Linked DNA regions of Macaca mulatta. The protein of the gene in region 1 interacts with the protein of each later gene in a pairwise test. Links are inferred from orthologs where the notes say so. Each region holds a gene or a part of one and is shown in the gene's direction. Other genes may lie near its edges.

Region 1 (4,894 bases):
CGCACACTTTCTCTACTTGCAATTTAGTAACATCCAATCATTATGTGGCCTCACATTCCTCCCCTGCAGAATTCCATTTAATTCATCGTGTGACAGGGAGAGAAATCAGTTCTATTATTAGTCTAATCCCTTTGCTAATTGCAAATACAAATAGATGCTTTCTAACAAAACATATTATTTTATTTTTATATAATATACTTTTAAAAATAAAAGTATGTTATATAATAAACGGTGGCCGGGCACGGTGGCTCACACCTGTAATCCCAGCACTTTGGAAGGTCGAAGTGTGTGGATCACCCGAAGTCAGGAGTTTGAGACCAGCCTGGCCAACATGGTGAAACCCCTTTTCATTAAAATATAAAAATTAGCGGGGCGTGGTAGCACACGCCTGTAATCCCAGCTGTTCAGAAGGCTGAGGCAGGAAGAATTGCTTGAACCCCGGAGACGGAGGTTGCAGTGAGCCAAGACTGCACCACTGCACCCCAGCCTAGGAGACAGAGCAAGACTCCATCTCAATAAATGAATAAATAAATAAATAAATAAAATGAAAGGGAGAGGGAGAAAGAAAAAGCTATAGATGCTTGCCAAAAATTAAATGGTATATAAGTAAAGAAAGTGATCTAACCTCTAAGAGAGTAAACACTGTTAACACATTTCTTTTTTTTTTTTTTTTTTTTGGAGATGGAGTCTAGCTCTGTCGCCCAGGCTGGAGTGCAGTGGTGTGATCTTGACTCACTGCAACCTCTGCCTCCCGGGTTCAAGTGATTCTCATGCCTCAGCCTCCCAAGCAGCTGGGATTACAGGTACCCACCACCACACCTGGCTAATTTTTGTATTTTTAGTAGAGATGGGGTTTCACCATGTTGGCCAGGCTGGTCTTGAACTCCTGACCTCAGGTGATCTGCCCGCCTCAGCCTCCCAAAGTGCTAGGATTACAAGCGTGAGCCACTGTGCCCAGCCTGTTAACACATTTCTTAAAAAAAATGACCTGGAAGATTTGAAAACAAACAAAATAGAAGTTTTAAAAATGAAATATTATTGTTCAAATTGTTTTAAAATTGATGATTGAAATAAAAGATTAGATACAGCTAAATAAATAGTGAACCTGAAGGTATCCAAAAAGACCCATATAACAAGGAGATTGAAATACAGTTTGAGTATCCCTTATCCAAAATGCTTGGAACTAGAAATGTTTCAGATTTCAGATTTTTTCAGATTTCAGAATATTTGCATTATACTTACCAGTGGCTCACACCTGTAATCCCAGCACTTTGGGAAGCCAAGGTGGGTGGATCACCCGAGGTCAGGAGTTCCAGACCAGCCTGGCCAACATGGTGAAATCGCATCTCTACTAAAAATACAAAAAAGTAGCCGGGTGTGGTAGTGAGCACCTGTAATCCCAGCTCCTTGGGAGGCTGAGGCAGGAGAATCGCTTGAACCTGGGAGGCGGAGGTTGCAGTGAGTCGAGATCATGCCATTGCACTCCAGCCTGGGCTACAGAGAGAGACTCTGTCTTAAAAAAATAAAATAAATAAATAAATAAAAACTAAAGACTACATTTTTCAGGGTTACATACATACATTTAAAACTATGGAAACAAAATAAAAGAGATATTAAGGATCGTTATTAAGCTATGTTTTCTGATCTCGATACAATTATGACAGAAGTAAGAATTAACTCAAAGGGGTAACCCCAAAGTCAAGTATAGCAGTTCCCTAGGGGACGAAGCTGGGAGACAGTAGCAAGTAGAAGTAGCACCAAAATAAATGCAACATTGTCAGTGCTGTTCTGGTTCTTAAGGAAAATAGCCCATTCATAAGTGTTCATTTACACTGGAGACGCGGAAAGGTGGATGGGAGGGTGGGAGGTAGGTAAGGGATGAGAAATTACCTGATGATTACAATGCACACTATCCCATTGATGGCTACGCTAAAAACACAGGCTTCACCACTGTGCAGTGTATCCATGTAACAATGTATCCATGCACTTGCACCCCCAATTATATTTTTTAAATGTTTGTAATTTTTTTTTAAAAGTGAGTCAGATGCAGTGGCTCACACCTGTAATCCCAGCACTCTGGGAGGCCAAGGTGGGTGGATCGCTTAAGCCTAAGAGTTTGAGACCAGCCTAGGCAACATAGTAAGACCTGACTCCACAAAGAATACAAAAAATTAGCTGGGCATGGTGGCACCTGCCTGTAGTCCCTGCTACTTGGGAGGCCAAGGAGAGAGAATCATATGAGCATAGTAAGCCGAGGCTGCAGTAAGCTGTGATCACCCCACTGCACTCCAGCCTTGGCAACAAAGCGAGACTCTCAAAAAAAAAAAAAAAAAAAAAGTGTTCATTTTGTTGTCACCTTTGGACAGTACAGCGGTGGCATTTATAACTTGCATTTATATTACATATATTCTCTTTCTCAAATATTACATAATTTTAAAATACATTAAGCACACACTTGCTCTGTTGTTCTAGAGGTTTAATGTTGTCAAACCTGACTTAGTTCTGTTGTAGTACAGAACTCATCACAGGTGATTAGGAAGTTTTGGGTCAGATGGTTGTAGGATTTTTCTTTACATTTATAGTTTTAAAAATATTGCAAGATGTGCCCAGTTGTAAACAAGCATGTTCTTAGCAGTTATTATAGCAACTTGGTTTGCAAGCCTTTTGGTATGCAATCCAGCAAACAATGTGAAAGTATCATATTCATGTGTTTTTCCCAAAGGCTTGAAGAAAGGAGAACAGCTCTTCTCCTTCCTAAAAGGGCCTAAATGCATATATTTCTCATTCTTGGAGGAGGAAAAGATACATTTCTAATGATGAAATTCCAATTAACTACCACTAACAGTTCCCCTATGCCCCTTCTCTTTTGGTCTCCACGAAGCCCTGCTCCTACTCTGGAAGAAGTCAATGCCTGGGCTCAGTCATTCGACAAATTAATGGTCACTCCAGCAGGAAGGAATGCATTCCGTGAATTCCTCCGAACAGAATTCAGTGAAGAAAATATGCTCTTCTGGATGGCCTGTGAGGAACTGAAAAAGGAAGCTAATAAAAACATTATTGAAGAGAAAGCAAGGATAATCTATGAAGACTACATTTCTATACTTTCTCCTAAGGAGGTATGTGACCACGAAATGCCTTCTCCCAAGGCTGATGGTAAAAGTATTAACTTGGTGCAAAAGCAACTGCCACAGGCCGGGCACGTTGGGTCACGCCTGTAATCCCAGCACTTTGGGAGGCTGAGGCGGGCAGATCACCTGAGGTCAGGAGTTGGAGACCAGCCTGACCAACATGGTGAAACCCCGTCTCTACCAAAAATACAAAAATTAGCCTGGTGTGGTCACGGGTGCCTGTAATCCCAGCTGCTTGGGAGGCTGAGGCAGGAGAATCACTTGAACCTAGGAGGCAGAGGTTGCAATGAGCTGAGATTGCGCCACTGCACTCCAGCCTGGGTGACAAGAGCGAAACTCCATCTCAAAAAACTAAACAAAAGTAATCATCTTTTTTTTCTTTTTTTCTTTTTTGAGACAGAGTCTCACTCTGTCGCCCAGGCTGGAGTGCAATGCTACGACCTTGGCTCAGTGCAACCTCTGCCTCCCGGGTTCAAGTGATTCTTCTGCCTCAGCCTCCAGAGTAGTTGGATTATAGGTACGCACCACCACGCCTGGCTAATTTTTGTATTTTTAGTAGAGACAGGGTTTCACCATGTTGGCCAGAATGGTCTTGATCTCTTGACCTCATGATCCACCCACCTTGGCCTCCCAAAGTGCTGGGATTACAGGCATAAGCCACTGTGCCTGGCCTCGCCATTACTTTTAACTTTTTCCAGAAAAATGCACAAAAGTTTTCACAGATTTCAGAGGACACTTGGAGCCCTTCTGCAGGTCCACAGTCAAAGGGATCTGCATACCGTGAATGCGGGTGCAGCTGTTTTCTACATTTTGCAGTTGCTGTTCTGGGTCAAGCTGAACATGACCAAACAGCTGCACCCTCATTCACAGCATTCAGATCCCTTTGACTGTGGACCTGCAGAGGGGCTGCAAGTGTCCTCTGAAATCTGTGAAAACTTTTGTGCATTTTTCTGGAAAAAGTATCCCCTGGAGTCTGCATTTGATGGTGAACACTGTTTACAAACATTACACCCTAAGAAGTTCCTTTAAATAAAATTATCTTGTTATTCTGAGAAAAATATTGTCTTTAGGTATCTTGATGTTACAGGGCAGCAGCATCACAGATGTGATACTGATGCGGAAAAGGTTTTCCCCAGGCTGGCCTTTTCACATTCAAGAAATTATCAGTTGAATGAGATTGGGCAAGTTTCCACCTGTCAGAGTTTCAGTTACTTCAGATCTAAAATGTAGGAGGTCAGGCCTGGCACAGTGGCTCACTTCTGTAATCCCAGCACTTTGGGAGGCCGAAGCAGATGGATCACCTGAGGTCAGGAGTTCGAGACCAGCCTGGCCAAACACGGTGAAACCCCTTCTCTACTAAAAATACAAAAACTTAGCCGGGTGTGGTGGCGTTCACCTGTAATCCCAGCTACTCAGGAGGCTGAGGCAGGAGAATCGCTTCAACCTGGGAGGCGGAGGTTGCAGTGAGTAGAGATTGCGTCATTGCACTCCAGCCTGGGCAACAAGAGCAAAACTCCACCTCAAAAAAATAGTAATAACAAAATTTAGGAGGTCAGATTGTTCTCACAATTGGGTGCCCTGCAGCTCTAATTATAAAACTATTGGTTATTTCCTACTATGTGCTGACAGGAATGTCAGGTTGAAGAAGCAGGGCCTCTCCTGTCATGGAGCTCCTGGAGATGTGGGCAGACAGACCAGGACCCCTGGCCACACGCTCAGCACTCACTGGGGCTCGGGGGTGAGCCATCCACAAACGGGTGGGTGAG
Region 2 (5,676 bases), on another chromosome or scaffold:
TGTAGGCGATCATTTTAAGCGTAACCAAGCTCGCCTTTCACCCAGTCTCCCAAGGCGTTGAAAGAGTCTTGGGGCGCTGACCTACTTGCCTAGAGGGCCAAGGATCTCCTACTCGGTGGAACAGCCCCCAGAATTTCTTGGGGGAGGGGTGTGGGGAAAGAACCGAGCTACAGAATCCTAAGGGCTCGAGGCCAGGGGAGGCTGCCTTTGTGTGCCGTTCCCGGAGAGCGGCGCTCTGGGCTGCCAGCCGAGGCATAGCCAGCCCGGCTGCGAGCGCCCGGCCTGCGGGGAGCCGGGAACAGTAAACGGAGGAGGGCGGCCGCGGGCCTGTGTGTCTGCGGGCCTGTGTGCGAGAGTAAGCTCGTGATCCCAAGAAAAACACTCCACCCAGGATACCCCCGAAAAGAGGCCAGGAGAGAAGAGAGGCTGAGGGAGAGCAGCGCCGAAGCAGCGAACTAGCAAAGGGAGAGTGGCTCCTGCCGGGGTCGGCTTTGTGGCAGGCGCCCTGCAGCCGAGGGGGTCCTGCAAACCCAGGCTGAGGAGGGCAACCAAGGTACAGGAATGAGGCAGCGGGGGAAAATGTACTGACTTGCTCAGGCTTGGAGGAAGGATTGCTCTCATAGCCAGCACCGACCTCCTCACATCCTGCCCACTCCCCCACAGGAGCTCTTTCTCTCCCTGCCGCTGGAAGCTGGCGCTCCCAAGGAAGCCACCTCCAGGAGGACCGCCTTGCCTTTCCCCTTCTCCAGAAGGATGATTCCCAGGATCCGAAACTGGGGCAGGGGTGGCTGCCCAACCCCAGGAAGCGGCTCTTTCCTGCCCCTGCTCCCTCTTAACCATGCTTGGAATGGATCAAAGTCACAGAGAAATACCAACCTGAAAGGAAATGTTTGGGGAGAATGTTTCATTGTTACTGAGGGAGTCCAGAGTCAGCATGGGTTTTCCCTCTTGAGGGGACAGGTTTGGGGGAGCTTCAGTAGGTGGAGAACAGAATACAGAAGACTGAAAGGGTGACTAACATATTTGAAATGTGCCTGCCTTGAAAAAAAAACCTTCCTTGTTCTAACAGGGGAGGAAAGGCTGAAGGTGAGTGGAAACCCCAAACCCACATACATTCCTCACTATAAATTCCATCTGATTCCAACATTGTACACATGGTTGGAGTAAAATTTATACAGCATTGGCTGCAAAGCTTCCTGGACGAGCTCTCGATTTCTCCTACCCAAGACTGCATCAATTATTGGTCTCCGTTTGGCTTTTTCCTCTCTACAAGCCCAGGGTTGACGTGAAACCTAATAGTAAACAACAATTAACGACCTCAGCAGCGTCAGGGTAGAAGGAGGGTGATGGGGAACAGGACCCTTGGCCTGGGATGACGCTCAGATTTTCACGTGTCTCTCTAAGGAAAGACTTGAAGGTTCTCATAAGCAACTACCCAGCCAGTTGGAAAGGGGAGGAGGTGTCGTTGGGGTAAAGTGTTCTGTCCACCATCAGCCATCTGTCCACCGCTCCTCCCACCTGCCAGTCCCCGCACCCACTCTAGACGCGCAGCAGAATGAGGAAGGTTACAAAAGGAAGCTCTCTCTCTCTTCTAACATTCCTCTCCAGAAAAAGAGGAACGCAACGAAGGGAGTTCAGCTACTTTGTTGGAGCTGTGGACCGGCCCTGCGAGGCCCACGCGGGAGCGGAGGCTCCTGGGTCTCGGGCGCCGGCAGATGGCCTGCAGCGCACGGCCCGGCCCCCACGCTGGCCACGTCCGCCAGCGTCATCTCTCTCCCCCGCCTCCTACCCCTAAAAATCCGGCGGTCGAGTAGCTCCGCATCCCGGAGGGCTCCCGCTGCAAAACTGAGTGGGAAAGAAACGGCGGAGAGCGAGGAGAGAGGGAGGGTGGGGAAGAAGAGCCCGGTCGCCCCCGGCCTTTTCCGGCAATCCCTGTTTCCAGGGCTCTTCCGCACCCCCCCTTCCCCGGTCGAATTACAGAAACTCCTCATTGCCATGCTAATGAAGAGCGGGGGCTGTGGGGAGAGGGTTTCGGAGACTCTCCTGGAAGAAGGGAAGTTTCTTTTCTTGCCCTCGTCTCCTTCACCCCCACCCGAGTTCCTCCCACCCAGCCCTCTGCGCTCTTCCCTCTCCATTCCGCGCTTGGAGAGCCGGTGGCCCAGCCTCGCCCCCTGCCACGGTTCTGTGCGCTCCTCACAGCCCCATGGTCTCCCAGCCCAGCCTCAGAGCAGAGAAGGCGGCCTGGGAACCCGGGGCTCGGTGTCAGCCGGATTCCCCGCCTTCCGGTTGGGCGCGCTCCGGGCTGGGCCCGCGAACCTGCGGCCACCCGGCGAACTCCGGCCCACTAACTCGCGCCCCGAGAGAGCCGGGAGCCCTCTTCCCTTCTCACCTCTCGCCAGTTCATCTTTCAGTGCACAGTGGGGAGGGGGCGGGAGCGGGGGACGCCTCTCAGCCCCCACCTCCCGGAGGCCTGGCGGGGCGGGCAGCGGAGTCGGGCGCGCGCAGAAGGCAGCCTTTGCTCTTCTTCGCTCCAGCACTCCAAATCGGCCGTTGCAGTCGCCGCAGCAGCTGCCGCCGCCTGGGCTGCCTGGGGGGGCGACTGCGCGTCACCTAGACGGCGGAGCGCCGGGGATTTAAATGCCACTGAAACGGTGATCCATCACCGCGGAAGCCGGCAAACTTTTGCAGGAGGCTCAGCCATTGGCTGACACCGTCACGTGCCCCTCCCCTAGCGTCCTCCGCCCTCCCGCCCCCCCCTCTTGCGCACTGTACATTCATATCATTTTTCTTCTCAGGCCCCATGGAGGAAGTGAGAAAGTTGGCACGGTCACCCAGGGCTTCGCAGGACCAGGTCACTCAGTGACAGATGGACAATGCAAGAATGAACTCCTTCCTGGAATACCCCATCCTTAGCAGTGGCGACTCGGGGACCTGCTCAGCCCGAGCCTACCCCTCGGACCATGGGATTACAACTTTCCAGTCGTGCGCGGTCAGTACCAACAGCTGCGGCGGCGACGACCGCTTCCTAGTGGGCAGGGGGGTGCAGATCGGTTCGCCTCACCACCACCACCACCACCACCATCACCACCCCCCGCCGGCTACCTACCAGACTTCCGGGAACCTGGGGGTGTCCTACTCCCACTCGAGTTGTGGTCCAAGCTATGGCTCACAGAACTTCAGTGCGCCTTACAGCCCCTACGCGTTAAATCAGGAAGCAGACGTAAGTGGTGGGTACCCCCAGTGCGCTCCCGCTGTTTACTCTGGAAATCTCTCATCTCCCATGGTACAGCATCACCACCACCACCAGGGTTATGCCGGGGGCGCGGTGGGCTCGCCTCAGTACATTCACCACTCATATGGACAAGAGCACCAGAGCCTGGCCCTGGCTACGTATAATAACTCCTTGTCCCCTCTCCACGCCAGCCACCAAGAAGCCTGTCGCTCTCCTGCATCGGAGACATCTTCTCCAGCGCAGACTTTTGACTGGATGAAAGTCAAAAGAAACCCTCCCAAAACAGGTCAGTCCTGGGGGTTGGTGGATGCTCCTTGATTAATCTGGAAGGAGCTGGTATGCTTAATTTCCAAGGAAAATTAATAATTATCTTTTTTTTTTTAAAGGCTTTAAGACTAGTGTTGTAGTGCATGGAGAGGGTACCCAGAGGTGTTGGGGCAAAGAAGCCTCAGGGATTGGCGTGTTCTCAAGGATTTTATACATTTGGGAAGTAGGAAGTGTGTGGGGGTGGTTATTGTGACGGTAGTGTTCTGTTAATATCTTAAGGCTCCATTAATCACCGATCTGACCACGCTAATGGTTGACTTCAGGTTAACACTTTACACCTCATCACTCACCCTCCACAGCCCGATTTGTGTTGAGTTCTTGATCTTTTCTTTACCTGAGTGTTGCCATGAAGTGTGTAGGTAATCTCAAGTCGGTTTAAAAATTTTTACCTTTCCATCTCATGGCTTCCCACTTTGCCCCAGGGAAAGTTGGAGAGTATGGCTACCTGGGTCAACCCAACGCGGTGCGCACCAACTTCACTACCAAGCAGCTCACGGAGCTGGAGAAGGAGTTCCACTTCAACAAGTACCTGACGCGTGCCCGCAGGGTGGAGATCGCTGCATCCCTGCAGCTTAACGAGACCCAAGTGAAGATCTGGTTCCAGAACCGCCGAATGAAGCAAAAGAAACGTGAGAAGGAGGGTCTCTTGCCCATCTCTCCAGCCACCCCGCCAGGAAACGACGAGAAGGCTGAGGAATCCTCAGAGAAGTCCAGCTCTTCGCCCTGCGTTCCTTCCCCGGGGTCTTCTACCTCAGACACTCTGACTACCTCCCACTAAGGCGGCTCCAGTCCCAGACCACAGCCCAGGCATCTCCTTGGGCTGGGACTTCTTACCCAAAGCACATGCTTAGCTTATCTTTCTTTCCATTTACAGTCTCTTCTTTTCTGATCCTATCTGGGGAGCTCCTGGCCAGGATAATATGTTTGCAGATAATTCTGGACCAGAGACTTGGTGCCGGGTTAACACCTTAATCCAGATTGGGTGCCAGCACACATTTTCTGGTGGGCCTTAACATCCCTCCTGATTTTAGGAGAATTCACAGAACCTACTGTTCCTTTCAGATGACTTTTTGGAAAATAGTTCCCTTTACCAACAGAAACATGCCAGAAGGAATCTTCTCATCTTTTATCTAACTATATGTACAGCTCTCTCCTCCCTTGTCCTTGAAAGTAGGATATAGTGAAAGGAGAGTCCAGGAGCTCACGAAGAAGAGATACACTGTGTGTTTACACAATTAATTCATCCCTTAATTTAAGTCATTTTCATGTGTGTGAGTTTGCTGGTTGTGAATACTTTGTCCTAAGAGATTTATCTTTATACAGATTTTCTAGAAATGTTTAGGTTACTAAAACAGGGTGGGCAAACTCTCAAAACTGGCACAATTTTATAAGTGAAAGAACAAATTTCCTCATTTAAATCCAATCAGATGCCTCAGAGGGTAGCCTCGATTTGTTCTTACAGTTAAGAAGCCCTGCAGAGCACAAAGTTCAGAAATCCAGCTTCCTGTGCTAAGTCTTTCCCAATCCCCACTCCTTTCTTCTTGGGCCACCCTCTGTTTAAAATTTGTGCTGGGTTATTCAGAACCTAAAAGTATTATTCAAACCAGCTTCTTCCTTCCACAGTTATCTTAGTTGGATATAATGTATTTTCAGGTCAATTGTTAATGTGATGGATGGCACAATGAATGTATATTTTGTGTGATTCGTGAATAGTCTTTTGCATGTCGCACAATGTTTGATGTCCCCGAAGTACCACACTGAGTTCTATCAGTTATCCTTTGTGAGCCTATGATATTCCCCATTTCCTGTACAATCATGAACAGCTCTGAGATCCTGGAGAGATATGATCCAGAGCAGAGTTTACGGGTCTTAGGATGTCTGTAATAAATAAATATACTCAAGTTTCAGGTATGCTTAAGCATCCATGTATTTGGCTGGGCTACAATTTGTTAATTCCTACGAAGTTGGCATATTTCATGAGGGGAAAGGGAGAAGGGTGGTAAATATTTTCAAAGAGATGGGCCTTTTCTTGAATAAAAGTTAGTAACAGCTCCTTTATTATAATCAAAGCTCATAATGGAAAAAAAAAGACTGATGAAGAAATTTATGAAGCAGAT
Region 3 (5,454 bases), on another chromosome or scaffold:
AGCGCCCGTGTCGCTGACTTTTGTGAACCAGAGAAGGATCTTGTAAAACCTCCTTTTCTCCTTCGTACGCCCCAACTCCCACCCCTCCTCCCCTGCCCCTTTGATTAGATGTTCCCTCATCGTCCAAAAAAAAAAAAAAATGTAATTTCGTTGGTCTGGCGGCCACTTTCTTTGAACATTAGCTCGCTTTCAGCTCCAACTTCAATTAGAAGGAGTTGATTTTGAGAGATCAACAAAAGAACCGACCAAAGCCTTATTAAAGGTCCTAAGAAGATCTCCCGGGTCCTTTGAGAAGCAGTTAAGGAAACAGTGTGCCCTCCATCATATTCTGTTACCGTATTTTATTCGGACTCCAAAGGAAAGTGTCGCTTGGGGGAGGGGGAAGCACTTTGATGAGCGGCGGCCGCGGCCCCTTTTCACTCAGCGGGCTCCCCCTTCCTTCTCCTCCTCCTCACCCAGCGCCCTGTCTGCTCTCCGCGCCCGACCCCGCAGCCTGGGCAGCACGGGTGCTCCCCACTGCGATGCGCCTGGAGGCTCCTTGACTCGCCCTCACACTTACTCCTGTGCAAACTTTTTACCCCGCCTGTCGGGGTGGGGGAGTGGGGGAGATTAGAAACAAGGGGTAGAAATTCCTCGAAAGGGAATAAAGTGCCTAATTTTCAGAAGGAGGTGCCATTTAAAAGATTCTCCTAGCTCAGAGTTGGAACGAAAACTCTTTTTTGCACTTTTAAAAGTCCACCCAGGCAGACGTGTTTGGGAAGTTTGTTCCACTGGGAAATGGGCTTCGCCCGTACGAACAATCCGGGGAAATCGCCTCAAGGAGGCTCCTTACGCAGCATGTGGAAAAAAGTTGAGGGCAGGGGTCTGTGGCCACATTTTCCATCAAAAAGTCCCTGTTAGAGGCAGACTAGGAAAGAGAGAGAAAGAATGAAAAAGAAACTTTCCTATCAAAATGTTTGAATTAAGAAGTAGGGTGTACATGTGAGGGCAAGAGGACGCTGGGCTCCAACGTTTCAGAAGAAGCGCTTAAGGCTTGCAAACACCCTTGGTGGGGACCGGGAACCCCGGGAGATGCCGATGAGCAGGTAAGTGGCTGTGCCCTCCCAGTGGGTGCTCTTCCCAGGCGCGAGAGTCCCGAGGCGCCGAGGAGAGATCTGCACGCCCGGAGCTGCTCCCGCGCTCTGCAAAGTAGCCTGCGCCGGCACGAGCCGCCCGCGGCGTCGGTCTCAGGTGGCGGTGCAGAGGAAGAAAACGCTGGGGCCCGCGGCGCCAGGAGAGGGGCCGAGGCCCGGGCTCCTCCAGCCCGCCGCCCCCGGGTCCTGGCGCCCACACCCGGGCGGCTGAGCCCGGTGGCGCGCAGGAGAGCGAAGGAACCGGTTCTCCAGCACCTCTCCTCGTCTCTGCCACTCCCTCCGGAGCGCCGAGAGCGCGAGAGAAGGGCGGGGGCGCCCAGGGAAGGCCTGGAGACCCGCGGCCCCCTCCGCGGCCAGGACTCGGGCTCTCCGCTCGCCTTCCTCGCCTAGCTCTGAGCCGCTTTTGCCAGCCGAGTCCCGGAGTTAGCGCGCGACCGGGGCGGGGCGGGCGGGAGGGGAGGGCGGGGTGTGGGGGGCGGGGGAGGGCGGGGGCGCGCGGAGGTAACCCCCGGCTCGCGCTGCCATTGCCCGGCTCCCTGTCACTCAGCCCGCGCGGGGCCCCCGATTGGCGGCCTAGCCCCGTTACGCACTCGCCTCGCGTTCACATACCCGGGGAGGGCAGTAGAAAGGTGATCAATCTTCATCAGGCTACATTTCCAATCACCTAAACAACCGAGCAAGACAAGCCACTCCGACAAGGTAAATCGCTTGATTTATTTAGTTTGCAAAGTGACTCTGCAGGACTTCCCAGTCCCCACTGCCTCCACGTTGCACCGGCAGTGCCGCGGTAACGCCGAGCCACCTCCCAACTCTGCCCTCGAATTCCCCCCCTTGCGGCCCCTCGGCGCGATTCCGGGCGAGGCAATGTCCTGCCTGAGAACGTGTGGGGCTTAGCAAACAAAGTGTCTGTGCAATAAAGTGAAACCCAGAGGGACACGCACAAAGCCACTGAAAAAAAAAGATAGAGGTGGGAGGAAGGAAGTTGGGAAAAGAAAGAAACCCGGGGTCCTAGACCAGCCGCCGGGGTAATTCCTGTGCCGCTCTGTTTTGCAGGTTGGCTGCCCGGCGGGTCTCTGTGAGAGATCCAGGTAGATGGTGAACGTCCCCGGCAGCTGAGGGCAGGTAAGGAGAAAGCCGCGGGACCATCCCGGACTCCGGGAGCGCGTTGGTTACCCTTACCTCCCCCTCCTCAAATGGATCCCCACTTCCCCGGTCACCAGCAGGTGGGCGGGGCTGGGGGAGCGGCCTAGCTCCCCTCTTGGTGAGCCGAGGACCCCGGGGCGCTGTCGCGGCCCGCCGCTCCCTCCCCCGCCTCCTCCGAAGTAACCAAGCTGAAGTGCTAAGTTTGGAGAAAGTCTTTGAAAACTCACGCTGCAGCTTCGCAAAGCCGTCGCAGCTTTGAGTCCCATTTTCCTTCGGCCCTAGAGCCCTGGCTGCTTCTCTTCTCGTCCCCTTCCTACAAGCTGGACTCCCTCAGCCCAGGTCTTGGATCCCAGAAGACCGGGGTGGGAACGGGGCAGGGGGGAGCTTCTTTAGCTCTAACTTCTCTCCCTGAACGTCCTAGCCCGAGTCCCTGGCCTGCTTCACAGCGATCCCGCTAAGCGGGGTGTAGCAATGGCCCCCCAGAGCCCCAGGCCCAGTTTCCAGCGCCCCTCCCTGACCCCTGAGAGTGCCGCCCCGGGTTCCTGGCAGCGGCGGGGGCGAGGCTTCCACCTCCCAGCTCGGGTCTGCGTGGGCTATGCCGCTGAGGCCTACTTCTCTGTTCTCGACAGTGTCCTGGGGCCGCGGGTTCAGCTACAAGGATGACAGCACGGGACTTGCTGCCCTCCGGCTTTGCAAATCCCCGAGACCCTTTGAGGTGCTAGGTCAGTCACCCTTCACCCCCTGCTGGGACCCTGTGGTCCGCAGCACAGACTGGACAGAGAAGGCCGGGTGCGCGCTGGCAACGAAGGACGCTGGCCGCAGCTGAGACGCTCCCGACCTCAGGCCGCGTCTTGGGGTCGCCCCCCTCTACAGTGGCCTCTTCGGCGTCCCCTGGCCCTCTGCGAGGCCTGGGCCGGTTACTGCGGTTGAGGTGTGGTGGGATTTCGCGTCAGCGATCTTTCAGTGGCTGGGCACAGAGAGGTCAGCTGGAATGGTGATTGCGGGCTCTGGGGCAGGGGCGCAGCCCTGGAGACCTTTGAAGGAACCAAGTGTCCTAAGTGGACAAGAGGTTGAGGTGCGGTTAGCCCTCCACATTGCCTCACCTTGGCCCTTTGTAGTCTCTACCTTTTCAAAAACACGTGAAACAAAATGAAACAACCCCTCATGCTCCGGGAGGCCTGCCGTCCCGGCACCAAGTGAACGTTTGCTTGTGCAACATGAAGCTGGCTTCTGCCGGATTCAGAATTTTGCCTGGACTTGGGAGCTTGCACACTCCGCGGTTCTTGCTCTGACCTCCCCAGCCTGGCCTGGCTTTGACTTCTCCTTACTCCTATGGACTCCCTACCAGTGTCTTTGGCTCATTCCAACGCTGGAGCCAGACGACCCAGAAAACTTTACTTTTCAAAGCAACTGTGGTTTCTGGGCTAAGGCCTTGTGGATTCCAGTTGACCACCCTGCGCAGTTCTGTAACCTGCCTTCCCTGTCTATCCTGGGGCAAGACTTGGCAGCCAAGTGGCTCCGATTGATGGTTTCCGTGTGTCTCGTGTCTTCATAGGCCAGGCCCCCAGACGCATCAGACCCTGAAGGACTGCGGTGGGAGCCCTGCACCGCTTCTGGCCCCAGGTCCCCTGGATCCGTCGGGGCGCCTCCACCCAGCTGTTAGCATGATGTCTTACCTCAAACAACCCCCATACGGCATGAACGGGCTGGGCCTGGCTGGGCCCGCCATGGACCTCCTGCACCCATCCGTGGGCTATCCGGGTGAGCACCAGCCCTCCCGACCCTGCTTCAGCCTCTCCAATGTTGGGGCCCCCCAGACTGTTGGGTTTGAGTGCAAGCTTTGTTGCCGAGCAGGCCCAGGGAGTCAGCTATTGCAATACAGGGCCCACTGCCTGTTTACAATACAGGGCCCACTGCTGGCGCACGGGGCAGAGTCGTGGGCATGTGAGGTGGCCAGGGCTGAGAAAACGCGCAATGTGCGCCTTCCTGGCCGGGTCACCGGCAACCTTTCTCCTGTTGTGGTCCCACCACCAGCGCAGAGCTCATTTACCTGCGGATTCGCTACCCAGGGGCGGCTAGTGTTTTTCCTTTTCCCCCAACATGGAATGAGTAATCTGGACACTCGTTAGGCCCTGACAGAAAGAGCCAAACTTTCCTTATGCGAAGCGGCAGGCTGGACTGAAGGAGTATTCTTCCTTCCTAATTAAATTGTCCTCTAAATTGATGTCCTGCATCCATTTTTGCACTGCTGTAGAGGACGACCTGAGCCAAACCCGGGGTTCTTTAGCTCCGGCTCCTTTACCCCATTTATTTTCTCCGAAAGTGTTTTTCAGGTCGTGTTTCTGCCTACCTCTTCCCCACTCCCTGTCCCCTAGCCAGAGAGAGAGAGAGAGAGAGAGAGAGAGAGAGAGAGAGATTGTGTGTGTGTGTGTGTGTGTGTGTGTGTGTGCGCGCGCAGGGGAGGGGGAATGTGGAAGAAGGGAGATTGTAGACTTCTCTTACTTTTTTTTAACCTCTGAGAGGCATAGAGAGGGGCAGCCCTTGAATCTTGGAGACACTGGCTTCTAGTCGCACATCTGCACTTTCTCCCACCTGTGGCCTCTCAGGCTCGGCCGCCCGAGGGAGTGTCTTTTATTCCCAGTTCGGCTTTCTCTTGCGAAGGCCGAGCTCTGGGCCTGCCAGGGGCCTGCCTGAGTGCTCTATCGCTGGTCCGCGTGGCCACCAATGACCCGCGGCGCCCCCGCGTGTCCCCGCAGCCACTCCACGGAAGCAGCGGCGGGAGCGCACCACCTTCACGCGTTCACAGCTGGACGTGCTCGAGGCACTCTTCGCCAAGACTCGCTACCCTGACATCTTCATGCGGGAGGAGGTGGCGCTCAAGATCAACCTGCCGGAGTCCAGAGTCCAGGTGCGCACTCCCCGGGCTCCAGGGTCTGTGTAGGGGAGCTGAGACTGCTCGGGGAAGGTCTGGGAAGGCTCTTGAGGAGTTCTTGAAGAGACCGTCCTCTGGGGATGGGCTTACAGACTGGGCAGCCCCTCTCGGACTCCCCCTAGCGCTGGACCCCAGCCAGGAAAGGGGGCAAAAGTTAAAGGAAATGGCTTAGAGCCCTGAATTCCGCCCTTAGCCCTAGAGCGCCTTTCGTATCGGTATCGAAAGTACTTTTCAGAATTGCGGGAG
Region 4 (3,614 bases), on another chromosome or scaffold:
CTGGGCATCGTGGTACATGCTTACAATCCTAGCATTTTGGGAGGCTTGAAGTGGGAGGATGGCTTGAGCCCAGGAGTTTGAGACCAGACTGGGCAACATGGCAAAGCTGTCTCTACAAAAAATACAAAAGGTTATCTTGGTTTGGTGGTGTGCACCTGTAGTCCCAGCTACTTGGGAGGCTGAGATGGAAGGATCACCTGAGCCCGGTAGGTAGAGGCTGCAGTGAGCCATGATTTGTGCCACTGCACTGCAGCATGGCCGACACAGTGAAACCCTCTCTCAAAAAAAAAAAAAAAAAATCTTTCTGGTCCCATTTATAGCAGATTTCCAGAACTTCAATAGCATGGTCTACTGGTGGGCCTTGTTGGAAGGAGCTGTGTGCTTGATTTCAGGCTGTTGGGAGGTGGTGTGGTATGATGGAAAGCACCTGAGCCTTGTGACAGGCTAACCTGGGGCTCTGCCGCCTGCCAGTGAGGATCAGCAAAAGTGACTGATACCTAATGCTGTTTTCTCAAACTAAATGTATTATGAAGTTTAAATAAGAAATTACATCAAGTGCTGGCTACAGCGGGCACTCTAAAAATGGAGTTGCAAAAGATATTCAACCCCAGCAAAAGGCTAGACACTTGTTCTAATACCATGTCAGGGAACAATACTGTAGATAATAGTGATGATCATTTTCAGCTTTATAGTACTCAAGTTTCTTCAAGTATTCCAGAGTCAAGTTCTGGATATTAGTTTCTGGAAACAGGCTCCAAACTAGATTCTGCCTGTTAATTTGTCATGATTGGCAGGTGGGATGCTTTAAAAATATTTAGGAGAAACAAATACCCTGTAGTCCATCATCATTTTGTAACCTGAGTTACAAAATGGCTCCCACAGAGCATTTTCTAAGTCATGTGAATAGCTAAGTTTGGCCTTGTGTTACTGTGGACTGGTGTGTATGTATGTAGTTGAACGATACTAAAATTTCGGTCATAAGGACTCTGCTGGACTCAGGGTCTCAGGAGGGTATTTTGTACCCAGTGAGAATTGAATTAGCAAGCTAGAAATCTGTATTTTCTTGGTTCTGTTCAGTTCTAAACCAATGAGTATCCTTAGGACATGTTAACCCTCCTATTTAAATTATGAGTACTTGTTTTTCTAGCCATGGTGACAAGTTGCATAAAAACATCTACTGCAGGCCGGGCGCGGTGGCTCACGCCTGTAATCCTAGCACTTTGGGAGGCAGAGGCGGGCGGATCACGAGGTCAGGAGATTGAGCCTGGCTAACACGGTGAAACCTCGTCTCTACTAAAAATACTAAAAATTAGCTGGGCGTGGTGGCGGGCACCTGTAGTCCCAGCTACTCGGGAGGCTGAGGTAGGAGAATGGCGTGAACCCGGGAGGCGGAGCTTGCAGTGAGCTGAGATCGCCACTGCACTCCAGCCTGGGTGACACAGCGAGGCACTGTCTCAATAAAAAACAAACAAACAAAACATCTATTGCATACTTGTTCCTAGAAGTTCTTTTAACCAAAAGCCCAGCTCGGAGAGAATGTGGAGTAGGCTGAGGCAGTCTTGAACTTAGGACCTCAGCTTCTCATGTGCAACTTTCTTTTTCTAGGATTTGGCAGAGCAAGAATTGGGTAGAAAGACTGACTTTCCACCTGGCCTGTTGCATAGTATTGTGAGACTGGCTGACTGCAGTGTTTACAGTACTCTCCCATTTATAATACAAGAAGCATGATTTTTAATGCCTCCAAAATGGAGTTTCCAAAGAAATGAAACTCTCGAAGTCCTTTAGCACCTGCTCATGTGTCAAGGGCACGTTGACACCTGCTTTTTTTTTTTTTTTTTTTTTTTTTTTTTTTGAGACGGAGTCTCGCTCTGTCACCCAGGCTGGAGTGCAGTGGCCGGATCTCAGCTCACTGCAAGCTACGCCTCCCAGGTTTACGCCATTCTCCTGCCTCAGCCTCCCGAGTAGCTGGGACTACAGGCGCCCACTACCTCGCCCGGCTAGTTTTTGTATTTTTTAGTAGAGATGGGGTTTCACCGTATTAGCCAGGATGGTCTCGATCTCCTGACCTCGTAATCCGCCCATCTCGGCCTCCCAAAGTGCTGGGATTACAGGCTTGAGCCACCGCGCCCGGCCTGACACCTGCTTCTTTCTTTCTCTGCTGATTTCTCAACCCTGTACTTCAGGTGCACAGATGGAGTCCAGAGGAGGCTGTAAGAGCCATCGCCAAGATCCGGTCTTACATCCACATCAGGCCTGGCCAGCTGGATGTTCTTAAAGAGTTCCACAAGCAGGTTACTGCAGGGGCAGCAAAGGATGGGACTTTTGACACTTCAAAGACATGATGTATGTGGATTAGAAAGAACTCAAGACATTCCCGCTTGATACAGAATAAAAAAAGCTTAACGGGACCCACAGGGCTTAAGCCCAGACTTGACATAACCAAAATGTGCCAATAGGTAATAGGTAATTTTGCTTTCTCTGTCTTGTTTCATTTTCTTGAAATAACACTGTTGTGTGGCTAGAAAGGAAAAGATTTAGTGTGGCTTGTATTCATGGGATACAGGACAGGGATGGGGCCATCTTCTTTTCTTGAATAGAGCTAAAGAAGTATTTTAACAAAAATCTATTATTATGTACCTAATATTGTGCCTAATAATATTTAGCACCACAACTCAAAAGACTTAGCACTAGAAAAAAGGAAACTCAGCTCTGGGTCTTTGCCACTGTCAGAATCTGAGTCTCACTGGCCCTGTGGAGTAGGGATCCTGTCTGGAGAAGTGGGAGCATGGGCGCAGTCAGGACTGCTGCAGACTGAGCCATGTGATGGTACGTAAGGAGTCCCCCTGAGGGAATGAAACACTCTCGCCCCTTCAAAGTCACCCCTTCGGAATTCAACACAGACACACATATCCCTTCAAAAACTTTTATTTGTATCAACACTTCCTAGCTCTTGACTTAGCTTAGAGCTTTTAAAAGAGCAGACACCTTACATATTTGAGTTTGAAAAAGTTTCTGCTATTAATCAGAAATAATCATTTCTATTTTCTGGCTTACCCCTTGGAATAAGCCAAAAATAAAACCAAAGTTACATTTCCTGACAGATGGATGAGAAAACAATAGAAGGAACGTCCTGAATTCTAGAGTTGACTCTTGCTGGTGAAGTACACCTTCAGCTTAGTCCATACTCCTAAGTAAAGCCCGAAGGAAAACTCTTAACACCTAATTCTTTGTGGAAAAATGATCAACTAGCCATTTCATAGGTTATAGAACAAAAGTACAATTGGGCATCTTTCCTTATGTCCTGGGATCAGGGGTGCTTATATTTAACATTGATCAGGTAAAGAGGAGAGGCTGTGCCTAAGGTCTGAGAAACAGCTTGCTCTAAAGCAAGCTGTGGTGAGGCACACAATGACTAGGGGATGGCAGAGAACAGGCTGGCCTACTGTCAGTTCAAGCAACCAGCTGAGCAGCAGCAGTCTAAAAAGCCCCAAACAGAACACCTCCATGGGTTCAGGGAAGGGCTGAGGCACTGCCTTTCTAGTATGTGCCAAAAAATACATTACTCTGAATTGGGGCCCGGGGGACTTTGAGTTTGGATGGGGAGGGAAAAGGAG
Region 5 (5,620 bases), on another chromosome or scaffold:
AAAACTAATGAAATTTGAAAGGTAATAAACATGAAAGAAATGAAAAATTTGGATTTATGGGGGATTTATTTGGCTTCTATTGGGGAATGATTAAGACTGAAGCTAACTACTTGGAAGTTATTGGCATAAAAATGGTATGTGAGGCCAAAGGAAAGGGTGAGGTGAGCCCAAGTAGAGAGGCCAACTTTAAACAACAACAGAAAAACAAAGAAATAGGACACAGAGTTAAATTTGAATGTCAGTTATATGATGAATAATTGTTTAGTGTATTCCATGTTTGGACGTGTTTAAGACATACTCGTCCTAAAAATTATGTATTATTTATCTGAAATTCAAATTTAACTGGGCACCATGTATTTAATCTGGCAACCATAACAGGGACAGGACACAGAAATATCGGCAAGGACCAGGCAGGCCTTTCAGATGGTGAGGTGATGTGTGAGACACAGGCCGCTGGCGGAGGCTGGGTGACCCAGAACACCTGTCGCTCATTCTCAGGAGCAGCTGCTACCTACTTCCCACTGATTGGGTTTGCAGAGATGGCCTCGAGGGTGTCTGATATTCTGATATTGCAAAACAGAACAAAAATATGTATTTTAATGTGTATTTAAAATGTATATATATTAAAATATTTTTAATATTGATATTAAAAGTGGTCAATTGGGCTGAGTGCAGTGGCTCATGACTGTAATTCCAGCACTTTGGGAAACTGAGGTGGGAGGATGTCTTGAAGCTAGGAGTTTGAGACAAGCCTGGGCAACATAGCGAGTCCCCATCTCTACAAAAATAAATAAATAAATAAATAAATAAGTCAGGTGTAGTGACTCATGCCTATAATCCCAGCTACTTAGGAGGCCGAGGCAAGAGGATTGCTTGAGCCCAGGAGTTTGAGGCTGCAGTTAACTACGATAGCACCACTCCACTCCAGCTTGGGTGACAGAGTGAGACTCTGTCTCTATTTAAATAAATACGTAAATAAATAAGCTGGGCAAACAATGAAAATGAAAACATTGTGAAATACAAAGCAGTTCTGTGGGTTCCACTGTTTGCAGCCTCTGATCTAATTTCTAAAGAGGGTGTAGCAGGTTTTTTAACCTGTAAATTATGGTGATTGGCAGGTCAGGGTAAATGGTAGTTGTGTGTGGGGAAGCGATGATGGCAACAGGTGTTTTCCTCCTGCAAAAACGAAAATGTGGGAGTGACTTCTCTGGCCATGGCTCCATGGTCTCTCCCCTCAGAGCCAATTTCAGTAAAATTTTTATAGTTTAAAAAATATGGTTCTGAACAATTTTTGTTAGAGTTATTTTGGTATTTTTAAATAGTTTTTTGGTCGTATACATGGTAGAATTCTTAACATTATACAATTGTAATGTATAAAAAAGGATACAATTATAATTCATAAAATTATAGCCCCACTGGCCATTCTCCTGTAGCTGGGAGCAGTTCACGCCAACAGGGCTCTACCCCAATGCTGACCTGCTCTACAGGATCCCAGGAAGGTGAGCATAGCCTACCAACCTGTTTGGGTAGTACAGCGATAGCAACTGAGGCTTCCAAGGCTTTCGTCAGAAGATTGTGGGCGGAAACTTCCAGGGGTTTGCTCTGAGCTTCTTGAGGCTTCTCAGCTTCAGCTGCAAAGTGAGTGGGTGTTTCTTTGAGAAGCAGAATCAGAGAGAGACATAGAGAAAGAGAAAGACAGAGGTGTTTCCCTTAGCTATGGAAACTCTATAAGAGAGATCCAGCTTGCCTCCTCTTGAGCAGTCAGCAACAGGAGTCCTGTCCTTGACACCTCAGCCTCTACAGGATTGAGAAGTAAAACCGTTTGCTGGGGCTGGCCTGACTCACCGGCTGCCATGCAGCAGCCCTTCAATTACCCATATCCCCAGATCTACTGGGTGGACAGCAGTGCCAGCTCTCCCTGGGCCCCTCCAGGCACAGTTCTTCCCTGTCCAACCTCTGTGCCCAGAAGGCCTGGTCAAAGGAGGCCACCACCACCGCCGCCGCCGCCGCCACTACCACCTCCACCGCCACCACCACTGCCTCCACTACCGCTGCCACCCTTGAAGAAGAGGGGAAACCACAGCACAGGCCTTTGTCTCCTTGTGATGTTTTTCATGGTTCTGGTTGCCTTGGTAGGATTGGGACTGGGGATGTTTCAGCTCTTCCACTTACAGAAAGAGCTGGCAGAACTCCGAGAGGTAAGCCTGCTGGCAGACTGCTGTGCCCTGGAGGCACCAGGCATAAGGGGGTGGAGGGCCCACTGCCTGGCTTGCAAAGTGCTTTTCAATCCTTTTTTTTTTTTCTTAGAAATGGGTTGTTCTAGTTATTCTATTCTATAGGCAGAGAAATGGAGGCTCATAGGAGTGAAGGGAATATTTTTTATTTTGTAAAGAATCAGAGCCCAACAGTTTTTCTTTCCTCAGTTGTCAACTCAGTCTGTTGAACCACTTACTGCCTCATACCTAGTGATTTAAGGAGTAAAAAACAAACAAAACTTTTAAGTTTTGCTTGGAAGTAAATTTGTTCAGATGACCAAACTAAATCTTGAAAATACTTAAAATACTGGTACGATTTCAAATCACAAAACTGAGGGACAGTGAAGCAAAATTGCTTGACCAAAGCCTGAGTCAGCAAAAGTTCTGAGGTATTTGGATTCTCTTTCCAGGGCTTGGTTTATTTGACGATTCTGTCTCTTTTGCTTAAATAATTTTATTTTTATTATGCATCTTTTTTCTTTCTCTTTTACTAGTCTACCAGCCAGAAGCATACAGCATCATCTTTGGAGAAGCAAATAGGTGAGTCCTTTTTCACATGTACATTGAGTTCCTAAAGATGATCCTCAGCACTGAAATATGTTAATGGAATGCCTTATATTCTGTCCTACACTTTGGCTTATGTATACTATGAGAGGAATCCTGGCTAATTCGGAATCTCTGGTCAGTATGATTCCTTGAGCTGCTTTATAAATGTGAAGTGAATTGAATTGCTCACAATCAATATAGCTGAGCACGGCACACAATTCAAAATCACTTCCGCTTGACTTTGGAAAGAGACACACATATACAACCGTGGACTTTTGCCCCCTGAGCAGTGGTTCCAGGCCTGTCCCCTTCCACAGACACCCTGGTCCTGGCACACATGCCAGTGGCTATGACTTCTGGGAAGAGAAGGCGAAGTGAAGGCAGAGACAGATGTTTCTGAGAAACGTCCTCTCCTCTTTTAAAGCCTCTAAAGAGATTACAGTGAAACTTTATTTACAAAATGTTTTATAGGACGTAAGCTTTTAAAATGTGGCTAATCAATTCCGTACATTAGAATGGTTTTTCTTGAAGTCACTGAGAAGCTGAAGGGAAGACTTCAGCCATCATTCAAAGGATGTTCAGCTTCAGAGGCAGTCATGAGGTACCCTTGATCACAAAGGAAAATCCTTTGTATGGGAGCTAGGGCAAGAAGACGATATGTTGGAACACTGATCTCGTGAAATTTCAGGGCATAGTTTTGCAAGCTCTGTACAGATGGATTTTACAATGTGCTTCACTAGCCTAAGATTCATTGAAATTTTAGATTTAGATTTACAATGAGATTCACTGAAGGTTTAGAGTTGGAAGGAAGCTTAGAATATCCAGTCCAGCCATTTCATTTTTTTGGAAGAGAAACAAAATGCCAGACGGATTAGGTGAATATGCCCAAGACCCCTAGTATGGAACTGGGGCTAGAAGGAACACAGGCTCTTGATGCCTTGTCACCTACAGGGCTTTCCGGTACTGGACTGGTGCCTCATGAAGTAGGGAAACTCCTGTCTCTCTGTAGTGAGCATGGAGTGAGAAATAGAGGAAAAGCAGGATACCTCTGCAAAGACTATAGATAGATCGCATCCTTAGAAACTCAGAATAAAGAAGAAGGCAGCACTGGCCATCTATTAAGTGAAGTAAGTTTCAGTTTCTCTGGATGTGGCTACTGCAGGCAACCCAGTCGCCTGTCTACTGTCCTAGACTGTTAAGTTCTTATAGGAGCCACTGTTGGGAAGCTCTGGCCCCTGAGTCTGTGTCCTAATCCTTAAATGTTAGAAAGTCCATATGTACACAAGCAGAGTGGAAATATTTGCTAGAAAAATAAAGCCTCTGGAGGATGTCTCAAATAAGATCATTTTGAAAACCTGTGGAATGTGCCTGGTCTGATAGGTACCTAAGCATTCATCTTTTACCTCCTCTCTGGAGTCAATTTAGTGATTAAAAATCAAATGACCAGACGAGTCATGTCCATCTACCCCAGTAAGCAATTATCTTCTCTAGATCAACCCAGATGAACCAGAAATTGTTAAATTATCACAAGGAAATCAAATCAGTAACTTTACTAATAAGAAAAGAGATGCAAACTAAAAATAGGGAACACCAATTTTCATCAAATTAGTAAAGTTAACAAAAACCCAGACTGACAAAGATTTGAAAGAAAAGTGCTGTTTAAACATTAGTTTCAGCCAGTATACATGTAAATTGCTATAACTTTTTCTGAAGAGCACTTTAGAAATACATATCAAAAGCTTGAAACTAATAGTTTATGTTGTAATCCTATCACTAAGAATTTCTCTTAAGAAAATAATCAGAGATGTGCCTGAAGATTTATATATAAGGATGTTCATTACTCCCTTATGAGCCTATTTATAATAAACAATCCAGAAGAAACTTGAATGCCTCATACTAGATTAGTTATATACATTATGGTGTATTGAAACAAGCACATAATAAGCAGCAACTAAAAATGATGTATCAGAAGGACATTTAATGCCTTGGGGATTGTGCAGTGTGTATTGTTAGATAAAAAGACAAGTTACAAAAGGATATATTTCGTTTCATACTGACTATGTAACCATGTATGCACGTTTTTATATTCTTAGGAACTAGAAGGTTCTACACACTGACATACTAACAGTGATTTTCTCTGGGAGATACTACTATAGATTATTTATACTTTCTAACTTGTTCCTTTTTACATTTTCCATTTTTTTCCAGTTAGCTAATTAAATCTTTTATTCATTCACATGCGTGAGGCTAGATGTTGGGTGTTGGACGCTGATCGAGGATGAGCCAGCCCAGGGGACCTGTCCTTATAGAGCTTTTAGCATGGTGAAGAAGCTAAACAAAAGCAAGCAAACAGACCATACAATTCCAAAGTTGTACTAAGTATAAGCTGAGAATCCTTTTTAAGGAGGTGTTTATGCTGACACCTGGGGGGTCAGAAGCCTGATGAGCGAAGGGCTGTGTGCATGTGCTGTGGAGTGGGGTGGGGCTGGGGGAGAGCATTTCAACACTGGGAACGGCACATGCAAAAACCCTGGGGCAGGAAGCACTCATCACCAGTGTCTAAGGTATCTCTGCAGTTTATTTATTCCAGCATATGTACAGCAGATATTCTTAGTGAGCATGTTCTGTAAAAATAATGTTGTACTAGGCTCTGTGAGGGATAAAAAGATATGCAACATGTGGTTCTCGGTTCTGTTTCCTGCCGGTGCATGGCTGAATGCCAGATGAGTCGCGCGGGTGGTTTGCGGTGTAGGAATGCAGAAGAGACTCAGTTTTGCCTTTCCTGTTCACTAACACCTCCTTCATGGTGGGTTGTCTTG
Region 6 (4,894 bases), on another chromosome or scaffold:
AATAAAATCATGGAACATAAAATTGTCACTATAGTGTAGTAAAAAAAATTACATTACATACTTTAGGGAATGTAAATAGTTTTAAAAAAGAAACTGTCAAGTTATGACATGAGAATGAATACCGTCAATCTATTGATGGTTCATATATAACAACAGAGAAGATAGCTTTAAAATTCAATGTACTGTGTGTGTTTCAGACTACAGGAGAACACAAGCCTTCTTGATTTTTAATTTATCCTACTTAGAGATAGTGAAGATTGAGAACTACCGAAGTGGGAACTCAGGAAGTAGTAAAATGGCAGTAGAAACGAAACAGCATTGGGTTTTTAGTATAGTCAAGTAGTAGTTAAAAATAACAATTGTAGAATTTTTTCCTCTGCCCAGAATTGATTCTTGTAGGTTCACAACAGGAAGGCTGGGAGGGACTGTCCAGAGCGTCAGGTCTCCTGATTACTAGGAAAGTGCTGAGCGGAGGCCACCCATGGCCTCATCATGTGTCACCTTGGTGGGTGGAGGGAGCAGGTGTCAGATTCAGATTTCTGTTTTTTTTTTAAAGACAGGGTCTTGCTCTATCACTCAGACTGAAGGCTGGAGTGCAGTGACAATCTCATAGCTTGCTCCAACCTCAGACTTCTGGTCTCAAGTGATCCTCTTACCTCAGTCTCCCTAGTCTCTGGGATTATGGGTATGCACCATCACCCTCAGGTCTCTGCTTTTTGGCTAGTGCTATTTCTTCTGTGACAAAAAATGTCCATGATATTGAAGAGTAACTTTAATAAATACACACACCACTTTTTTTTTTTTAATACTCACAATTGTGTCAAAAAGTTAAGTCATATCTGAGTGTGTGATATGGTTCAAGGTCAAATAAGGGGATCCAGGAATTTATTTTCTGTTTGTATACTATCCAGCCATGCTAATTAAATCACCAGCAAAATAAGGCAGGCGTCTATGTCCATTAGATGATGTGTATGCTGAACTAATGTATTATCATGTGTACATGTTTCGAGAGAGAGAAGCTAAGTGCTTTATTTTCTTTTTTTGTGTACAGGTTTCAGCAAGCAGATGGTGGAAATTCTTCACAAACATAATATTCAATTTAGCAGCTTTGATATCTTCTCAGATGAAGAGGTTCGACAGGGACTCAAAGCCTATTCCAATTGGCCTACCTATCCTCAGCTCTACGTTTCTGGAGAGCTCATAGGAGGACTTGATATAATTAAGGTTAGAATTGAGAAGTCTGTGCTTTGTAAATAAATTCCATTTAGAGCATACTTTTTAAAGTGTGATAAATCTAAGATACAAATTTCTTATGAATCTATATTTACTAATAAGAACCTGCAATGAATACACAGTATTTCTGATTAGTTGATTGATCAATAAGCTGTGTTATGGTGTGATCAAGGAGATTTATGTTATAATAATTTTTTTTTATAAAACTGACATGTGTGCTTATTTTAGGAGCTAGAAGCATCTGAAGAACTAGATACAATTTGTCCCAAAGCTCCCAAATTAGAGGAAAGGTAAGTGTTTTGGAAAGTTTTAAATAGTCTGTCATTTAATATGTTAAAAATATTTTAAAGTCCTCAGGTTTTGCATTGCTCTTTCTGTGTAGAAATCAAGGATTTGGTATTTGTATGCCAGAGGTCATAATTTCATTGTTTAGTCAAACTAGCCATGCAAACTTTGGCAAATCTAATTTGGATTGGAGAAATTTTAGCACCAACTTAATGATCATGTGGAGGACCTTCTTTGCTTTTATAGAAATGTCATTGTTTCTGTGGAACAACCAAATTTTGCTTACCTCTCTGCATTTCAGAGCCAGGGTCCAGTTGTCTTGTCACTGCTCCTTGGCGTAACCTCAGCACACTCGTGTTTTCCTGGGTGCAGCCTTGGTGACTGCTGCGGGTGCTGCCCCAACGCCAGAGCACTGAGTGACAAGTGGTGAGTGTGAAAAGCTCATCACCTCGCAACAAGCTTTGGGCACTTCTCATGGCCTTTCTAGACCACGAGAACTTACATGAGCAGGTTTTGGGGCTGTGAAACATGTATTTGTTTTGTCAAGGATCTCACTTGGCTTTTGGAGAAGTTCTCTTACAGAAACGTTGGACTTTGGTGTATAAGGCAACTTAATAGGATTTTTATTGCAGTAAATGTGAATTAATATAGAACTTTAAAGAGGAACTTACTATATCAGCAATCAGCCATTCATAGGTTGGGGCTGGAGATTGTAAGATAAACCTTCCTTTGGTAATTTTTTTTTGCCATGTAACATCTTGAGAATTTCTAAAAGTGTGTAATAATAATAATTACCTCATTTGTCTGTTGTTAATTAATAATTTCTATAAATAATGTTCCATTCCACGTATGTAAGGCTGATCTTTGAGTACTGCATTCTGTCCTGTGGTTTGTACCATTTTCTGCGTTCTTCGTGAGAGAGTGATGCTCCGCATCCCTTTGTTGACTCTGGGCGTCTTCATGTGTGGTTCTTGCCTGTAGCCTGGTGATGCCCATGGCCCATGGAGGCTGTGTGTTCTCCAAGGACAGCTGTGCTTTTTATATGCTTGTATTCGCTGTTCAGTTGATTTTCCTTCTCTGCTGAGTACACTTGCTGCTGTTAATGGCCTTGTCTCCATTGGGCCTTTGTTTTCCTAAATGTGCTGTTTCTAAATCTGTGCTTGCGGACACTGAAAGGTAACTGGCTAGAATTATGTAGAAAGTAAAATTCAGCATATTTTGAGTAATAATTTAAAGGGCTCCTAGTGAGCAGAGTGCAGGAAGTGGAGTTCATGGACTTGTGACGTGTATTTTGGCAGTACATTGTGAGCTGTGGTTCCCTGTATCCAGGTGGCTGGGTTAGTTATTGGGTTGTCAGGGTCAGCATCGTATTCCTGTATCCATTCATATTTTTCTGAACTTGAGCTAATCCCACTCGGTTGGCAATGTAAGTGATACAGCTTTGTGCATGATTTATGCATTTCATTTGGGATTCGTTTATAAGGAGATTTTTGAGCCTTGAATTGGGAGAACATGGTGGCGTGACCCCATGGAGCTTAGGTTCTTTAGTGACCTGTCGTCCCAACACTGACTTTTCCTGAGATTTGTGACTAAACTTGTGGCTGTATACAGATAATTAAAATTTCTGATAACATATTAGATTATGATGTTGGCAATACTGTATAAAATATAATGTTAAGATGAAAGTATTTGATTTTAGCATCTGGCATTAGTTGATGTTCTGAGGTTTAATGCTGTCACCCTGCAGTCTGACCTTGTGAGCTTTACACGTGTACAGTGGTGTGCAGCATCATGATGGAAGATGGTGCTCACAAGATCTAGTTCTGGAAGTTTTGGATGGGCTTAATATATAGGCCCCTTATTGAACAATTCCTTACTGAATTGGTTGTTATTATTATTTTTTTATTACTGTGAGTTGATGGGCTTAAATTGCAACTTGAAGGAACATTCTTTGCCTTAAAAGCCATATTGTGTTTTACAGTGGCTTAGGGAGAGAATGAAATCAAGGAAAATGTCAACGCATTTGCTTGTTTAATACCACTCAAAGCTGTGAACTGTCATCCTGCCATCCCTCAAATATGCATGTTACTCACGAAGCGGAGGAAAAGTGGTGTTGCATAATTGAGCTGAGCCGTTTTATATCAATTTTCTCTCTTTAGGCTCAAAGTGCTGACAAATAAAGCTTCTGTGATGCTCTTTATGAAAGGAAACAAACAGGTAAAGAACTCAAAAATGGTTTTATTTGTAATTTCTTTTGATGTTAACATCTGCAACAAGGGGACAGTTAAATCTCTTTTTCCTAGCTTTAGCTAATGAAGCTGTAGCGGTATCAGGAAGTTATCCAGGCCTTAATTGGTGCTTACGGAGATCAAACAAAGTAATCTACATTTTGCTTGACTTTATCATCAACATCTCAGTGGGGTGCATTTCTTTCTGCTGCCAAACTTTGTCAGCTAACGTGGTCAACACTGTTAACACTTTACTGGTTGTATGAGTTGTTATTTCATTATCCTTTGTTGGAGTTTGTGGACTGCTGGAGTGTGCAGCTGAGTCACTGGACTTCCTGAATGCAGGGAACCTGGTCGTGCTTGGGTTTGCACCCCTAGATCGTCCTTTTGTGACAGTGGAGGAGCAAACCCTGGCTGTAGCAGGTGTGCTGTGTGTAGTGTTTGATGAATGAGTGAAATGGTCAGCAATTCTCATTTGTAATGGGATGGTTCTTGTAGCTTTTTGACGAAAGTGCATATTGATTGTGCGTCATTTTGAATATCAAGTTTGATAGATTACTTCCACTAATAGTTTGAGCAGAACTAATTTTCTTTCAGATTGAGATCAGAGTGGTAATTTCCAGAAACCAGCCATACACATTTATGCCATATTTTGTAGTTTTCATAGCAATTGAACCTCTATTTAATTCTCAATCAGTTGTTGAAGTAGGCAGGGTTGGACAGAGTTTGGCCTATTTTAGAGATAAAGAAACCAAAGCTTTGAAAGGTGAGGCTGTTGGAATAAAGAAACTGCCTCACTTGTTAGCCAGATGCACTGGGCAAGTGACACAGAGAACCACTTTGCCACTTTGCTCATTGGGAAAGGGACTCAATACTTCTTCACAGGGCAGACTCTGGTTGCCATAACTAGTGTGTAAGTTACATAACTAGTATAATGAAGCTAATTAGTTAACATAACTAATTGGTTAATATAATTAGGTAATGAAAGTAACAGTAACAAATAAAATGTTAATATAAATTTCAGCATTTTGGAATCACTAGGTTAGATCCTAAATTCTTTGGTTTTGCTTCAGTGTATTGAAACAATAGAGGAAGTTAATAATTCCTAGTAATGATAAAGTGACATTTTTTTCTTATTCTTGGTAATT

The links.
Region 2: the proteins of RGS20 (region 1) and HOXA1 interact in binary tests that used the Homo sapiens proteins (3 or more experiments, as listed by UniProt). The two-hybrid records come from large-scale screens. The link is inferred for Macaca mulatta from reciprocal best matches to the Homo sapiens genes RGS20 and HOXA1.
Region 3: the proteins of RGS20 (region 1) and OTX1 interact in binary tests that used the Homo sapiens proteins (3 or more experiments, as listed by UniProt). The two-hybrid records come from large-scale screens. The link is inferred for Macaca mulatta from reciprocal best matches to the Homo sapiens genes RGS20 and OTX1.
Region 4: the proteins of RGS20 (region 1) and PTPMT1 interact in binary tests that used the Homo sapiens proteins (3 or more experiments, as listed by UniProt). The two-hybrid records come from large-scale screens. The link is inferred for Macaca mulatta from reciprocal best matches to the Homo sapiens genes RGS20 and PTPMT1.
Region 5: the proteins of RGS20 (region 1) and FASLG interact in binary tests that used the Homo sapiens proteins (3 or more experiments, as listed by UniProt). The two-hybrid records come from large-scale screens. The link is inferred for Macaca mulatta from reciprocal best matches to the Homo sapiens genes RGS20 and FASLG.
Region 6: the proteins of RGS20 (region 1) and GLRX3 interact in binary tests that used the Homo sapiens proteins (3 or more experiments, as listed by UniProt). The link is inferred for Macaca mulatta from reciprocal best matches to the Homo sapiens genes RGS20 and GLRX3.

Annotation. Positions count from the first base shown.
Region 1 is NC_133413.1:64,601,719-64,606,612, forward strand, and holds part of RGS20 (regulator of G-protein signaling 20), read left to right. Parts: intron 1-2,881; coding exon 2,882-3,116; intron 3,117-4,894. UniProt on the Homo sapiens protein: Inhibits signal transduction by increasing the GTPase activity of G protein alpha subunits thereby driving them into their inactive GDP-bound form.
Region 2 is NC_133408.1:101,250,609-101,256,284, forward strand, and holds HOXA1 (homeobox protein Hox-A1), read left to right. Parts: upstream 1-2,474; 5' UTR 2,475-2,866; coding exon 2,867-3,518; intron 3,519-3,981; coding exon 3,982-4,337; 3' UTR 4,338-5,466; downstream 5,467-5,676. UniProt on the Homo sapiens protein: Sequence-specific transcription factor. Regulates multiple developmental processes including brainstem, inner and outer ear, abducens nerve and cardiovascular development and morphogenesis as well as cognition and behavior.
Region 3 is NC_133418.1:61,711,626-61,717,079, reverse strand, and holds the start of OTX1 (homeobox protein OTX1), read left to right. Parts: upstream 1-1,764; 5' UTR 1,765-1,832; intron 1,833-2,186; 5' UTR 2,187-2,255; intron 2,256-3,831; 5' UTR 3,832-3,940; coding exon 3,941-4,037; intron 4,038-5,032; coding exon 5,033-5,184; intron 5,185-5,454. UniProt on the Homo sapiens protein: Probably plays a role in the development of the brain and the sense organs. Can bind to the BCD target sequence (BTS): 5'-TCTAATCCC-3'.
Region 4 is NC_133419.1:18,021,344-18,024,957, reverse strand, and holds the end of PTPMT1 (phosphatidylglycerophosphatase and protein-tyrosine phosphatase 1), read left to right. Parts: intron 1-2,183; coding exon 2,184-2,342; 3' UTR 2,343-2,519; downstream 2,520-3,614. UniProt on the Homo sapiens protein: Lipid phosphatase which dephosphorylates phosphatidylglycerophosphate (PGP) to phosphatidylglycerol (PG).
Region 5 is NC_133406.1:30,155,624-30,161,243, forward strand, and holds the start of FASLG (tumor necrosis factor ligand superfamily member 6), read left to right. Parts: upstream 1-1,811; 5' UTR 1,812-1,853; coding exon 1,854-2,198; intron 2,199-2,749; coding exon 2,750-2,795; intron 2,796-5,620. UniProt on the Homo sapiens protein: Cytokine that binds to TNFRSF6/FAS, a receptor that transduces the apoptotic signal into cells. Involved in cytotoxic T-cell-mediated apoptosis, natural killer cell-mediated apoptosis and in T-cell development.
Region 6 is NC_133414.1:142,208,317-142,213,210, forward strand, and holds part of GLRX3 (glutaredoxin-3), read left to right. Parts: intron 1-1,051; coding exon 1,052-1,224; intron 1,225-1,461; coding exon 1,462-1,523; intron 1,524-3,677; coding exon 3,678-3,735; intron 3,736-4,894. UniProt on the Homo sapiens protein: Together with BOLA2, acts as a cytosolic iron-sulfur (Fe-S) cluster assembly factor that facilitates [2Fe-2S] cluster insertion into a subset of cytosolic proteins.